Linked DNA regions of Anolis sagrei. Each later gene encodes a partner of the first gene's protein in a complex. Links are inferred from orthologs where the notes say so. Each region holds a gene or a part of one and is shown on either strand. Other genes may lie near its edges.

The links.
Region 2: GTF2H3 (region 1) and GTF2B share a complex: the UniProt entries of both Homo sapiens proteins name them as parts of the TFIID-containing RNA polymerase II pre-initiation complex. The link is inferred for Anolis sagrei from reciprocal best matches to the Homo sapiens genes GTF2H3 and GTF2B.

What each region holds. Positions count from the first base shown.
Region 1 is NC_090034.1:41,525,512-41,533,490, reverse strand, and holds the start of GTF2H3 (general transcription factor IIH subunit 3), read left to right. Parts: upstream 1-4,976; 5' UTR 4,977-5,066; coding exon 5,067-5,076; exon of another isoform or gene 5,077-5,249; intron 5,250-5,255; exon of another isoform or gene 5,256-7,136; intron 7,137-7,316; coding exon 7,317-7,396; intron 7,397-7,979. Other genes in the region: EIF2B1 (translation initiation factor eIF2B subunit alpha), read right to left, coding at 67-131, 471-587, 1,297-1,413, 1,828-1,964, 2,640-2,741, 4,826-4,838. UniProt on the Homo sapiens protein: Component of the general transcription and DNA repair factor IIH (TFIIH) core complex, which is involved in general and transcription-coupled nucleotide excision repair (NER) of damaged DNA and, when complexed to CAK, in RNA transcription by RNA polymerase II.
Region 2 is NC_090024.1:151,970,059-151,976,986, forward strand, and holds the start of GTF2B (transcription initiation factor IIB), read left to right. Parts: upstream 1-3,924; 5' UTR 3,925-3,996; coding exon 3,997-4,013; intron 4,014-6,928. UniProt on the Homo sapiens protein: General transcription factor that plays a role in transcription initiation by RNA polymerase II (Pol II). Involved in the pre-initiation complex (PIC) formation and Pol II recruitment at promoter DNA.

The sequences.
Region 1 (7,979 bases):
CTATGACAATCCCAGCCCATTTAAAAATGGCTTTGCCAAGCGACAATATTGCCCACTCACACTTACCCAACAGCAGCATCTAGGATGACTGTCACAGGTATGCCCAGTTTGGTGAGAGCTTCAGCCATAGTCTGCCTGTGTAATTGTCAACATTTTATCTTAAAACCCATTATATATATTTAAAAAGTACTTCGATCCTACGTAACATTACAAAGGATGTTCAAGAGAGGACAAAATAATAATAATAATAATAATAATAATAATAATAATAATATAGTAATGATAATCTTTTGCAGTAGAGTTCATTCATTCATTATCTTATGTGCTCATAGGAGCTTACTCTCAAGTATCAGTGTGTATACAGGACTGTAGCTTTACTTCACAAAGGGAGAACTCTGTCCAGGTAATGAAAGAGCAGACCCAGCTACTATTATTTGCATACTGAAGAAGCAGAAAGCCTTGACATCTACTTGCCCTGCTCGGTCCGGCTGTGATTCGGTGACGTAAACACTGAAACGTTTCTTGGCTTTTACTGCTGTGTCCAGCACTTTCAGGACCACTTTGGAATAAGCGTGAGTCAATACCCTCTGAGGAAACAGGACACCAATGCTTCAGTTTAGGATTCGTAATATAAATTACACAATTCTTCCTAGAAAGGCTCAGAATGTGCTGTCTGTTCCTCCCTCCCTCAAAGGAGATTGGACTACAACTCCCATTATTGGGAGGACTACTGGTCCTCTCTTCCTGAACTAGTGAAAGAAGAACCATGTGGCATTACAGACAGCCAGGTCTCAACTGTGTAGAAAAAGGGAAGTTTAAAGGGAGACATGATAAATAATATTCAAATATTTGAAGAGCAGAAGATGGGATAGATGCATTCTCTGCAGCTCCAGAAGAGAAGAACGGAATGAATGGTTAGAAATTCAAAAGGACCAGATTTCGGGTGGATATCAGTTAAAATACTATCACAGTATATACCGTTCTACAGTGGAGCAGAGTTGTCTTCAGAACTAGTAGGCTCTCCTTTGCTAGGGATATTTCAACAGAGACTGGATGGCCATCTGTCAGAATGCTATAACTGTAGATCCTACACTGAGCAAGGGATGGACTTGTAAACCTCTAGGGTACCCTCCAATTCCAATATCTCAAAGATTCTATGGCTATGTCAGCTATGGAAGTCAGAGAATATTATATTTGTGGTGAGTACCAACTTTCACATTTGTTTAGGGCAACAGTAAAATGCATAAAACCAAAGTAAGTCTGTTCCTGTGTTTTACAAAATCTAGGCTTACTCACCCCACCATCTTTGACAAAAGTATGGCAAAGTACGGCAATCTTATTCCTTGAGCCAGAGATTCGCCGGAGGAAAAGTTCTCCTCTCTCAATCATGATTGCTTTACATTTGGAATAATCCTAGAGAAAACAGCAAGAGGTGAAGGCAGGAGGTGACATCGGAGGTTCAATTAAAGAAACAAGCTCAAACATGCCTTGAGCATCATGCTTACCGTGTTTAAAGGTTTTAAAAAATTGCTAGGGTTGACACATCCTCTACTATAAAAGCCCTTCTCCATCATAGCCAAGTATGTTGAATCTGGCTCTGATTAGTTTTTTTTTCTGAAATGAGTTGGCACATGCTCACAAATCTCCCCTTTGTTGCTATTCCCATCATGTAATAAACACAAAGGCGGAAACTAGTTTCAAAGCTGGGCGTGTTTTACTGCAACTCCTGTGGGCCTTTTAATATAAAATTGGGTGACACAGACCCAAAAACTACTAATTAGTGACTGCAGTCCTGTACTCACTTGTAAACAATTGAGTGAAACTCACCGGGTTCTCCAAAGAGGTGAGACTGATGAACCGCAAGAAAAGCTCCCCTCCTGAAGAGATCGCTACCGAGGAATCAACACCAGAGAGCACTTCTATGGCTCGCTTGAGATTGGCTCTCAACCCTTGAATTGTCTCACCTGGCAGAGACAGAAGTGGGAGGGAAATGAGCTTGTAGTAACTGCATTGCCATAAACTAGAATTTCAAAGCCCCATCTACACTGACCATCTAATGCAGTTCAAAGGCAGCTTCAAACTGGCAGCCAGATAACAAATTCCCACCAAAGCATGCAAAAGAAAGCCGTCAATGTGCATCAATGTTCTGCAGTGTGTAGAATCACCATACAGGCCTCAAAATCAACACCAGGGTTTCCTATGCAATCATCTGCATAGTGAAACCACTTTCTTTAACACCGGTTTGAAACAGCATTAAATGATAGTGTAGATGGAGCCTTCATCTAAAAGCAGACGCAAAACTGTGGCTTCCAAGAGCTATGCCCAATGTAGTATATGTGCTGGTTATTTCACTGTCTCAATGATACAGATAATTAAATAGCCAGCATGTACTACATTTGAATTACTGCAGGTTAGAGATGCTACGCAGATCTCTAAGAGTAACAAGGAGAGTTTAATGAAAATTTGATTAAATTCCTGCAGTGAGTCATAATGTCTAATCCACTGTTTGACTTTTAAATCTGAAACATTTGTTGCTATATCATAAATTATCACAAATCATAAATTCCAACCTAGTTATCTACTGGACTCCAGCCCTCAAACCCAGAGCTCAGGCCACACAAGTAAAAGCCCCTACATGCCTTTGTCTCTTTTCAAAAACTCCAGCAAGACATGGATAGCAGCCACAGCTGAGGCGACATCAGGATCCTGCCTCATCTGAGTGTTAAAGGCCTCGACCAGCTCTGAAAAGAAGTGGAGGAAGAAAACAAAAAGGAGAAAGTCAATTAAGCTCTGATTTCTTTCCATATAGACTCCATATTCCCTTTAAATATTACGAATTGAAAACAACATAGCTTAATGCTGGGTATTGTCTGTTGTGAGGTTTAGAACATCCACAAACACACAGAGTGATTCTTTTTAACACACTTAGGGTGCATCTGCACTGCTGAATGAATGCAGTTTGACTCCACTTGAACTGCCATGGCTCAGTGCTTTGGAATCCTGAGAGTTATAGTTGGGAGAGGCACCAGCAGAGAAGGCCAAAGGACTTTGTGAAACAACAACTCCCAGAATCCCATAGCATTGAGGCCATGAGAGTTCCAAGTGGGATCAAACTGCATTCATTCGACAGTGTAAACACACCCATAATCAAAAATGATGACTGACAGCATTTCTTCATTCCATAGATAGAGCAAGAGTGGGGCACCTCTGGGTCCAAAGCCTTTAGCCAAACAAAGCATGCCAAACACAGCCAACACTATGGGACTGTCAAAGTTTGAGGACTTCTGGAGGCTACCCCAGTTTTCTGTACTCATAATGAAGCTGGCGCTTTTAAATAAAATCACAATAAAAGCCTGTAAGAAACTAATGTAATCATAGAATTGGAAGAGACCACAAGGGCCATCCAGTCCAACCCCATTCTACCAGGTAGGCAGACACAATCAAACCACTCCCAGCAAATGGCCACCCAGACTCTGCTTAAAAGCCTCCAGAGGAGACTTCATCACACTCTGAGGCAGCACATTCTACTGTTCTTCCTAATGTTCAGGTGGATTTGTATTGTCGAAGGCTTTCATGATCAGAATCACTAGGATGTTGTAGGTTTTTCAGGCTGTATGGCCATGTTCAGGTGGATTCTTTTTTTCCTGCAGTTTGAACTGATCACAGTTGTGATCCCCAGGTTATGCCAGTCAGCTTTCATATGATATTCAGGCAGTGATTGTTGTAGGTCAGAGCACGGTCCAGGGTAATTCCCAGGTATTTGAGTGTGCTGCAATGCTCCAGTGGGATTCCTTCCCAGGTAATCCTCAGAGCTCGGGATGCTTGTCTGTTCTTAAGATGATGTTTTAGATGGATGAGGAATCAGCTGGTTTCCCCAGTAGTAGGCAGTAAGAACACCTAGAACTTCGGAGAACTTCTGTTCAACCATCTCAAAGCTCCCTGCTTGAGTGGTAATGGTTTCAGAAGTGACCAGAAGAAGTCCCAGTCTCCGAAGAAGCAGAAAACAACCCTTGCTTATTCTTCCTCAATGGGACATCCTTTCAAAGACTGAAACATCTCAACCTTCCCTTTTCCAAGCTTAACAGACTCCAGCTTCTTCAGCTTGCTTTCCAAACCACTGGATCCTTTTGGTGGCCCATCTCTGGACACCTTCCATCTTTTTCATCTCCTTCTTGAATTGTTTTGCCCAGAACTGGACACAGGGTGGTTATTCCAGGTGAGGTCTGACCAATGAGAGTGGGACTAGGACTTCCCCACATTTAGACACGATCTTATTGATGCCCCCTACAATGACATCAGCCTTTTTCGCTGTCGCATCACAAAGGTCCACTAAGGCCCTCTTCTACACTGCCATATACAATCCAGATGATCTGCTGTGAACTCGTTTATCTGGCAGTGTAGACTCATAAAATCCAGTTCAAAGCTGATAATATGGATTATTTGATAATATGGATTATATAGTAGTGTAGAAGGGGCCTATGGCCTCTTCCACATTGCTTTTATTCCAGGATCCGATTCAAGATTATCTGCTTATCCCAGATTATCTGGCAGTGTAGATCAAAATCCTGGGATAGAGGGCAGTGTAGATCCAGCCTAAGACTCCTAGGGCCCTTCCACACAGCCCTAAAGCCCAGAATGTCAAGGCAGAAAATCCCACAATATCTGTTTTGAACTGGGTTATCTGAGTCCACACTCAGATAATGTGGGCTTCTCTGCCTTGATATTCTGGGATAGAGGGCTGTGTGGAAGGGCCTCCAGATCCTTTTCCCATGGATTGATTTCAAGTCGGATGCCTGTGCCTTGAACCCTCTTCCCATTCCCTCACCTGCTTCGTTCATAGTGGAAGAGCCAGATCACGCCACTCCTTCCATCTGCTTTTGGGACTCACGAGGCAACCAGGGCGGAACCTTGGTCGCGGGACGCGTTGGCCCCCGGAAGCCTTTCCGCGCGGCACTCCAAGCCGGAATCAAGCGAGGGCGGGACCGGGCGGGGAGCCGCGCGGCGGCCAAAGACGTCACTCCCCTGCGACGGGGGGACCACTGCGCTCCTTCCTGCTGCCGAGAGCAATGAGTGGCGGTGAGTCTGAGGGCAATGCGGCGGTCTCTCCTCCCCTCGGGCTGCTCTACCAACGGAGTGGCTTCGGCCTTCCAATCCGGGCTCCTTTCTTGTTTGCCTGCTTCCCTCGGTTTCAAACAAAGCCGTGGCTCTTCGACGCGACTGCTCCTAAGCACGTGCAGAGTGTTCCTTAGGTACTGGAAACAGATCCGTGCGGTTGTTCTTCGGTTTGGAACTGCGCTGGAGAGGCCGCGTAGACTCCTGCCAAGCAGCTCAATGCAGTGCAACTGCATTTTAGGAGTGAACACTGACTCACGCAGATTCAAACTGCATTCTCGGGCAGTGCAGATGATGTGACAGACTTTGCACTGGGAACCTTACACTTCCTTTTTTCTTCTTTCTTTTCCTTCCTCCCTAGCTTTCCTTCACACATCTTCCCCCTCTTCTTTTTTCCTCCCTCTCCTTCCTTACTTCCTTCCTCCCTCATACCGTTTCCTCTTTACAATTTCCTCCTCCTCCCTTCCTTTTTCTTCCCTTCTTCCCTGCCTTCCCCTCATACGTCCTTTTTCTTCTTCCCCCTCCATTCTCTTTCTTCTTCTCCCTCTCTTCCATCCCCTTCCTTTCTCATCCCTTCTTTCTCTTTCCTTCCTTCTCCTCATACTTCACTTCCCTTCCTCCCCCTCTTCTCTTTCTTCTTCTCCCTCTCTTCCATCCCCTTCCTTTCTCATCCCTTCTTTCTCTTTCCTTCCTTCCCCTCATACTTCACTTCCCTTCTCTTCCTTCCCCCTCCTTTTTCTTTCTTCTCCCTCTCTTCCATCCCCTTTCCTTTCCCTTCCCTTCCTTCCCCTCATACCCCTTTTCTCTTCCTTCCCCCTTCCTTTTTCGTTCTTCTTCTCCCTTTCTTCCTTCTCCCTTTCTCATCACTTCTTTCTCTTCCCTTCCTTCCTCTTCCTTCCTCCTCCTTTCTCTTTCTTCTCCTTGCTCTCGTACGTCTCCCTTCCTTTCTCTACCCTTCTTTCTCTTTCTTCCCTCTCCTTACCTTTCCCCTTTACATTCCCTCCCTCTCTTCCATCCCCCTTCTTTTCTCATCCCTTCTTTCTCTTCCCATCCTTCCCCTCATATCTCCTTTCCTTTCTCTTCCTTCCTTCCCTTCCTCCTTTTTCTTTCTTCTTTTCCCACTCATCCTTCTCCCTTTCTCTTCCCTTCATTCTCCTCATACTTCTTTTCCTTTCTCTTCCTTCCTCCTATCTCTTCTCCCTCAGTTCTCCTTTCCTTTCTCTACCCTTCTTTCTCTTTCTTCCCTCTCCTCATACCTTTTCCCCTTCACGTTCCTTCCCTCTCTTCCATCTCCCTTCCTTTCTCTTCCCTTCCTTCCCTTCATACCTCTTTTCCTTTCTTCCCCACCCTCTCTTCCTTCTCCCTTCCCTTCTCTTCCATTCTTTTTCTTTCTTCCCTCACCTCATACCTCCTTTCCCTTCCTTTCTTCTTTCCCTCCCTTCTCTTTCTTTCCCCCCTTCCTTTTTTCCTCCATTCTCAATACACCATGGACTATCACTCATGGCCGAGTATGATACATATGTCACTTAACAACACTTCACCCTCTTTGTTTCCCAGTGGTATCATAGAAGACCACTTCACCTAGCAGCAGCCCATCCGCTTTGTTCCTTTTCTTTCCCTCTGCTTTGGGCCCAAAAGAGGTGGAGGGGGTTTAGTTCAAACCCCTCAATTATTTAGAGTCTGTGTGCCAGGTTTGGTCCAGATCCATCAAGCCACGAAGGACCCTTTGTGGTGCAAACACACACACACACACAGATGTGTGTCTTTTCTGCTACATTGACTTGGAACGCAGAGGAGTGACAGAAATCCCCTCCCAGCTGTAAAGTTCAGGCTGTATAAAGGCAAACTATTCACAATAATAATTGCAGTTGGGCAGACTTTCTAGAAGAAATGTCTAAATTCTTTCTTTTGAGATGGTGTTTTTCTGGACTTTCGTTTCTGCATTTGGGGAAGACAGATGGGACTCCTAAAGCTGCCACCCTATCCTTATGAGTAAGGTGCGGGAAACAGTTCTCAATGAACAGGTACACAGTCTTGGTTGGTCCTCCTTTTTACTTGTGTTTGCATGAGTGAGAGCCTTCTGCCTCTAGACAGCTAAACCAATGGGACGTGGGGATTGTAACTGGTGATCTGTCTATAGAACAGACAGTAATAGGCTGAAATGACCACACTGTTGGGTGATGCTTTTTATCTTATTTTTCTAGATGATGAGCTGAATCTCTTAGTCATAGTAGTGGACGCTAATCCGATCTGGTGGGGAAAGCAGGCGTTGAGAGGATCAAAGGTAAGGTGGCCTGTTTCGCTTGCGATCTCTTACATATGTTATCAGCCGGACTGGATTCCAGCTCAGATTCTGAACAAATTTACTTAGACTTGTGCTTCATTTTCAAGTAATTAGTAATTATGCAATCTTAAGTGTACTTATTTGGAAATATGTTTCAGTGAAATCAAAGAAACCACCTTTCACTTGAATACCCATTGCCTGAGTTCAGTCTATGGATTCCAGTAGGTTCTTAGTATTCACTGGGGTTTGGTTCCAGGAGCCTGTTTGAAGAAGAAGAACTTTATTTTTCTACCCGGCCTCCATCTCCCCAAAGGGACTCGGGGCGGCTTACATGGAGCCAAGCCCAAGGCAAAATACAATTAAAAGCAAAGCAATAACAAATCAAAACAGCATAAAACAGCAAAACAGCGTAACAATAATAACAAGCATCAAGAGTAACAGCAGACTAATTTTGGAGGTGGGGTGGCAAAGACCACTATGCAAGCTGGATTAAAGGATAAAGTGGTTCAATAAGGTGGATAGCAACATATAATAGCATAGGAAATAACATGGAAGCTGAGCAATTTAACAAGATCCATTCAAC
Region 2 (6,928 bases), on another chromosome or scaffold:
GATGATACTGATTTTGGAGGGAAATGGCTTGGAGATCAGTATGATTCCTTGAGTGTGGGCTTGTCATTTCCCCATGATAACTACATTTTCTCACTGGGTAGCTGGATATGTTACTGTCCCTTCAATTTTTGCATTTTTATTTTACAAAAATGGTCCTCAAGTATCTACTCAGTAATGTCAATTTTATAACATGTAAAGTTGACTTGATTGAACAAATCATTAAATTTGAAACTCCGTCATAATTTTTACACAAAGAGCTGTTTTCATTTGTCTTATACACTGAAGAGAGTCTGGGCTTGTCATTTCCCCATGATCAGTAGATTTTCTCACTGAGTCATGGCAGTTCAAGTGGTGTCGTATTTATTTATTGTGTCAGAAGCGAATTGAGTTATAATGTATAGAAGACCACAAAGTTTAAAACTTGGCATTATACTAAATTTCCTTTGACCAGAAGCTGGCCACTTCGAGTGGGTCTGGTGTCACTGTAAGAAGGTCCTCCATTGTGCATGTGGCAGGGCTCAGACTGCATTGTAATAGGTGGTCTGTGGTTTGCTCTTCTCCACACTCGCATGTCATGGACTCCACTTTGTAGACCAGTTTCTTAAGATTGGCTCTGCATCTCGTGGTGCCAGAGTGCAATCTGTTCAGCATCTTTCAAGTCGCCCAGTCTTCTGTGTGCCCAGGAGGGAGTTTGACAAGTGGTGTCAAATTACATTAAAGAGGTAATCCCACTGAACATGTCAAGTGTTTGAAAGAGTAGATTACCATACAGCTGAGAGATACTCTGTTTTGAAATTAAATGGATGATTTTCTTGCCTCCATCACACACTAGCAAACTATCTGTTTTATTCAGGAGTTCTCAGTTGATTTGCCATCACATTGTATAGAGTGGATCCCGTTCACTGTCCCCTGTTTTCTTGGTGAAAAGGAACACTTCCTCTAATGGGACTATGATTTTTATTCCTGGGTTATAAATGTAATTTCCTAATTGGTTCCACGGTGGCGCAGCAGGTTAAACTGCTAAGCTGCAGAACTTGCTGACTAGAAGATCGGTGGTTCAAATCCGCAGGACAGCATCTACGGACAACGCTGGTTCTTTGGGTTAGAAATTGAGATGAACACCCCCCCCCCCCCCAGAGTCAGACACGACTAGATTTAATGTTAGGGGAAACCTTTACATTTACCTCTATCATAAACACATGGGAAAATATGATTAAACTGCAAAAACTTAGTCTTTGCAAGGACATCCTGCTATAGCACATTTGGCTCTAGTTTCTCAATGATTGAACATCATGTAGAGTCTCCGCCAATTTAACATAGTTTTTGGAGCACAACAAAAGTAAGGACTACACAATTAAACAGGAAATAACACTTGTAACTAGGAACATATTTTCTTTAATATTATTATTCAGATGCAGGATGCCCATCTGTTAGGGGTTGTGCCGTTACGCCCAGACACTTTAAAATAAAACTTTGACGTGCTGCTATCTAGGTCTGGGCGAACTGCTGGGGTCTTTCTTTAGAAGATTGAGCTTTCTTGAATAACTGAGTCCACTTCAAGTTTGAAACATCAAACAGGGTATTTATTCACGAAGTCCTGGTAGACTTGGCTCAGCTTATCAATATTACAAAACAAACAGTCAATTGGGGTTCAATAGTTGAGGCAATCTTTTTCCAAAAAGGGTATAACTTTCTCCAAAAAGGGTATCTCTATAACTATCTAGATAATCCTCTATAACTATCTAAACAGTTCTCTTTTAATCTATCTATCTCTAACTAAATAACTCAATCAAAATTGTTTTCTATCTATGACTCTATCTATCTATCTATCTATCTATCTATCTATCGGTCTCAATTGTTTTTACAATGGTATCTTTGGAGGTACCTGTCTGCCAACAGCACATCATGGATTCTTCTTTAAGACTGAAGGGGCAGGGAGACCTCCAAAATGGATGCTTCTACACTGGAAACAGGGGCGGGCCCAAAGAGCTACTCTTTGGCCAATCATTGCAGAGAGCCTGCAAACTGGCTTTCCTGCCTCTGTCTGCTAACCTTTTAGGCCTAGCAAAGGCTGCAGCAGCCTGGGATAAACACAAGGAGAGGCTGTTTCCAGCAACTAAAAGGTAATGCAAAACTCATGCTCCTGGGAGATGGAACAGGGGTGCTTTGGGCTGGGGTTTAGCACAGCTGGTAAATCACCAGCAATGAGAAGATCTACCAACCAAAAAGTTGCCAGTTCAAATACCTGGGTCAGTGTGAGCTGCTGACTGTCAAGCCTGCTTACTGTTGACCTAAGCAGTTTGAAAACAGCTTACCGCTAAAACAAGCAGGGGAGGTATTTTACGACACCTTAAAGAAAAAAGATCAGAAAATGCTGGGCGACCAAAGGGAAGGAGGAAGTCCTGATGGCTCTTCGTCATAGAGGATGGAGTGACAGCACTCCCATGGCTAGATTTCAAGCACAACCTTCCAAGGCGTGAAAAAAATGGACTTTGATGTTGACACAACATACCTCCTTCTGTTTTGTCAGTCTCTGTATTTTCTATCCAAAACAGCATTGAATGTTTGCCGTGTATGTATACTGTGATCCGCCCTGTGTCCCCTTGGGGAGATCGGGTAGAATATGAATTAAGTGTTGTTGTTGTTGTTGTTGTTATTATTATTGATTGATTGATTGTGCTTTTGCTACATGGCAGAAAGAAGGGGGATGGCTCTTGAGGTCAACCAGAGGAGGAGGAGGGAAGAAGGTGCCTGGGTGAGTAACACATGGCACACACAACACATGGAAGCAAGCAAGCAAGGAAGGAGGAAGTCAAAGGCATGCTGGAAGAGCTAGGTTTTTAGGTCTTTCTTAAAGTCTGCCAGGGTGGGGTCTTGCCTAATCTCACTAGGTAGTGAGTTACAAAGCTGAGGGGCCACAATGGAGAAGGCCCCTCGGCTAGATAACCCTTTGCAATGCTTTTTTATCCCCAAGATATCTCTACCCTACACTTGAAGCTTACCTCATGTGATGAACACAGTAGATTGCCATTTCTTAAGTGGGTGGCTCAGTAGTTAATGAATGTAGAATCATAGAATCATAAAATCATAGAGTTGGAAGAAACCTCATGGGTCATCTAGTCCAACCCCCTGCCAAGAAGCAGGAAAATTGCATTCAAAGCACTCCTCTGACAGATGGCCATCCAGCCTCTGTTTAAAAGCTTCCAAAGAAGGACTCTCCACTACACTCTGGGGCAGAAAGTTCCACCGCTGAACAGCTCTCACAGTCAGGAAGTTCTTCCTTTTGTTCAGATAGAATCTCCTCTCTTGTAGTTTGAAGCCATTGTTCCACGTCCTAGACTCCAGACAGCAGAAAACAAGCTTGCTCCCTCCTCCCTATGACTTCCTCTCACATATTTATACATGGCTATCATGTCTCCTCTCAGCCTTCTCTTCTGAAGGCTAAACATGCTCAGCTTTTTAAGCCACTCCTCATAGGGCTTGTTCTCCAGACCCTTGATCATTTCAATCGCCCCCCCCCCCCCCCCTCTGGACACATTCCAGCTTGTCAATATCTCTCTTCAACTGTGGTCCCCAGACTTGGATACACTATTCCATTTGCCCATGCCTGATCTATAGACCCTTTGGCAAGGGACACTTCCAAAACTGTTGCAAATGTGGACCAATCCAAAGTCTGCTCTAAGCTATCCAAGGAATGCACATCACTAATATTCGTTCAACAGGAAAGACCAGGCTCTGTATCACACTAGAAAATGAATTCACTTTAAGTGGATCACAAACTTGGCAGAGAAACCGGACTTGAAATGACAACCTCGCAATGAGTGGGAAAGGGGAGGAGCTTGGGCTCGCATTCCATTCCTTTGCCTTTGCAAAACAATTGTTCCACGCCACTCGCCGTAGCGGCTGGCCTTCGCCAAGCCCCGCCCACCGGAGCGTAAGGCATAAAAGGGGCGCCGCCCAACGCTACGCAGGCGCCGCGGCAAAAGAGGAAGCAAGATGGCGTCGACGAGCCGGTCAGTGGGAGAAGCTAGAAGGGGTTTGGATGGGTTTTTCTCCCCCGGAAGCGGACCAGGGAGAGCGCGGCTGATCCGGGGGAAGGGGAGGAAGGGAGTCCGCTTGGAAAGACTTCGGCCTGACTCTTGCTTCCAGTGTCACGGTTCAGACTATAGCATTTCGGGTGTTGGGAGGTGTTTGGCCTTCTCTGTCAGGGAGCTCAGGCGCCCCCGTAAATGACAAACCCCAGAATTTTAGAGCATTGCGCCGTGGAAGTTGAAGAGGGGTCAAACTTGCTGTAATTCTGTGGTGTGGCTACACCCCTAGGCCTTTCTCCTTTAAACCCATATTTTGGATGTGTGGCAAGGCTGTTAGACGCCATTCTTGGGGCAACTTACATTAATTGCATACTATATTACTAGCCGTCCCCTGCCACGCATTGCTGTGGCCCAGTCTGTGTATGTCTGCTTTGTGTGTGTGTATGTGTGTATTTATGTGCATACGTTGTAATGTTTTTTTTTATTGTTTGGCTTTTAAAGTATTCATCTGTGTTTTTCAGTGTTTTCATGAGTGATGGTCACTCGTTGGCCAGAGAGGTGTATTGTGTCCAAATTTGGTGCCAATTCGTCCAGTGGTTTTTGAGTTATGTTAATCCCACAGCCATTACATATTTATCTATATAGATTATACTAGCCGTCCCCTGCCACACATTGCTGTGGGCCACATGGGGGTTCTGTGTGAGAGGTTTGGCCCAATCCTATCGTTGGTGGGGTTCAGAATGCTCTGTGATTGTAGGTGAACTATATATCCCGGCAACTACAACTCCCAAATGTCAAGATTCTATTTTCCCCAAACTCCACCAGTGTTCACATTTGGGCATATTGAGTATTTCTGTAGAGTTTGGTCCAGATCCATCATTGTTTGAGTCCAGAGTGCTCTCTGGATGTAGGTGAACTACAACTCCAAAACCAAAGGACACTGCCCACCAAACCCTTCCAGTATTTTCTGTTGGTCATAGGAGAACTGTGTTACAAGTTTGGTCCAATTCCATTGTTGGTGGGGTTCAGAATGCTCTTTGATTGTAGGTGAACTATAAATCCCAGCAACTACAACTCCCAAATGACAAAATCAATTTTTGAGTGAAGGACATACATTGGGTTGTTAGGTGTCTTGTGTCCAAATTTGGTGTCAGTTCGTCCAGTGGTTTTTGAGTTCTGTTAATCCCACAAACTAACATTACATTTTTATTTATATAGATAAAAGGTTATCTGACTCTCACCCCTTTCCTTTTAAAAAATGATTTTACCTTTGTGTGTGGCTTTGTTACACGTCGTGTTTAACAAGACAGTCTTTCGTAATACTGGGGGCTCTTCCATAAAGTTTCTGAGAAGGTGGGGAAGAGCCTGTAGAGGCCTCTCTGTTATGAAGGAAGTACAGTAAAAGGTGACTAATGCTTTCAGCTGATGAGAGATTTCCTGGCCTTCCAACAACAGAGTTTAAGGGAGAGAGAGAGTTCAAAACAAAACAGAAATGATCACAATGATTATTACGTTTACTGTACAGTGGATTCTCTGCTAATTGACACCCATGGAGATTGGTAGATGCTGGATAAATGTAGTTTCTGGTTACTTTAGAGCAAGCATGGGCAAACACCGGTCCTCCAGATGTTTTGGACTTCAACTCCCACAATTGTGGGAGTTGAAGTCCAAAACATCTGGAGAGCACAAGTTTGCCCATGCCTGCTTTAGAGTTATCATTATAAACAAGCCGAACGAATGCTATCCACCATACCATAAACTGATATTAAAATTAAAATACAGTAATTAGAAGGAAATAAAGACAAGTTCAATGTACTTATTTTACTGCAGCATAGAAACAGCTTTGTGAAGGCAGTATGTATTTTAATTTAATTGGCAAACAGTAAATTTTTAACTTCATGAAGGTCAGTAACATATGTTTTAAAACATTTTTGGTGTGGGATTATGGTGCCAAGTTTAAACTTACATTTCTGCTAAAATTGAATTCATTTTAGTTTTATTTATAATCTTTTTATTTCTTTGATTATTTTATTGTCAGTTTCTTGAGAGTCTAACTTTAATTTAAACACTACACAGTACTAATGTTTTAGTATCTGGGTAATGCAAGGATAGCAACTGTGACTGTTTTTTTTAGAAATGGTAACCTGGTTTCTAGGGGCTTTGGTGGTGCAGCTGGTTAAACTGCTAAGCTGCAGAACTTGCTGACCAGAAGGTTGGAGGTTTGAATCCATGGGACAAGGTGAAGTCCCATTGCAAGCCCCAGCTTCTGCCAACCCAGCAGTTCGAAAACATGCAAATGTGAGTATATCAGTAGGTGCCACTTTGGCAGGAAGGTAACAACGATCCATACAGTCATATTGACCACATGACCTTGGAGGCATCTATGGACAACGCCAGTACTTCGCTTTGAAATGAACTTGATTAGACTTGATGTCAAGGGGAAACCTTTCCCCTTAACCTGGTTTGTAGTGATCTTTGCCCAAGTCTGTGACTTCATCTGTCATCTAGCCTTCCCTTCAGTCATTCCATCTCAGAACTCACTTATTTTAGTGATTAAGGTCCCATCTATATTGCCAAATAATGCAATTTCATTATGCAATTTAACCACATTGTATGGCAATGTAGACTCAGTTCAATACAGTTAAACTGCATTATATGACAGTCTAGATGGGGACTAACACTTCAGCAAAGGCAGGAATCAACTTGCAAGTTGCATCTCACATACATTGGAACTGAAGTAGTTCACATAATGCTTTTTGTAGGACTAGCAGTGCTGCTAGACTTAGTTTCTAACATCTGTCTTGGATCCTGCTTAAAAACCTTTGTCACTATCCTGGCCTTTTTAAAAACTCTTTTGTTAATGCAGTCCAGGTTGATTTTTATAAAAAAATCAAGTC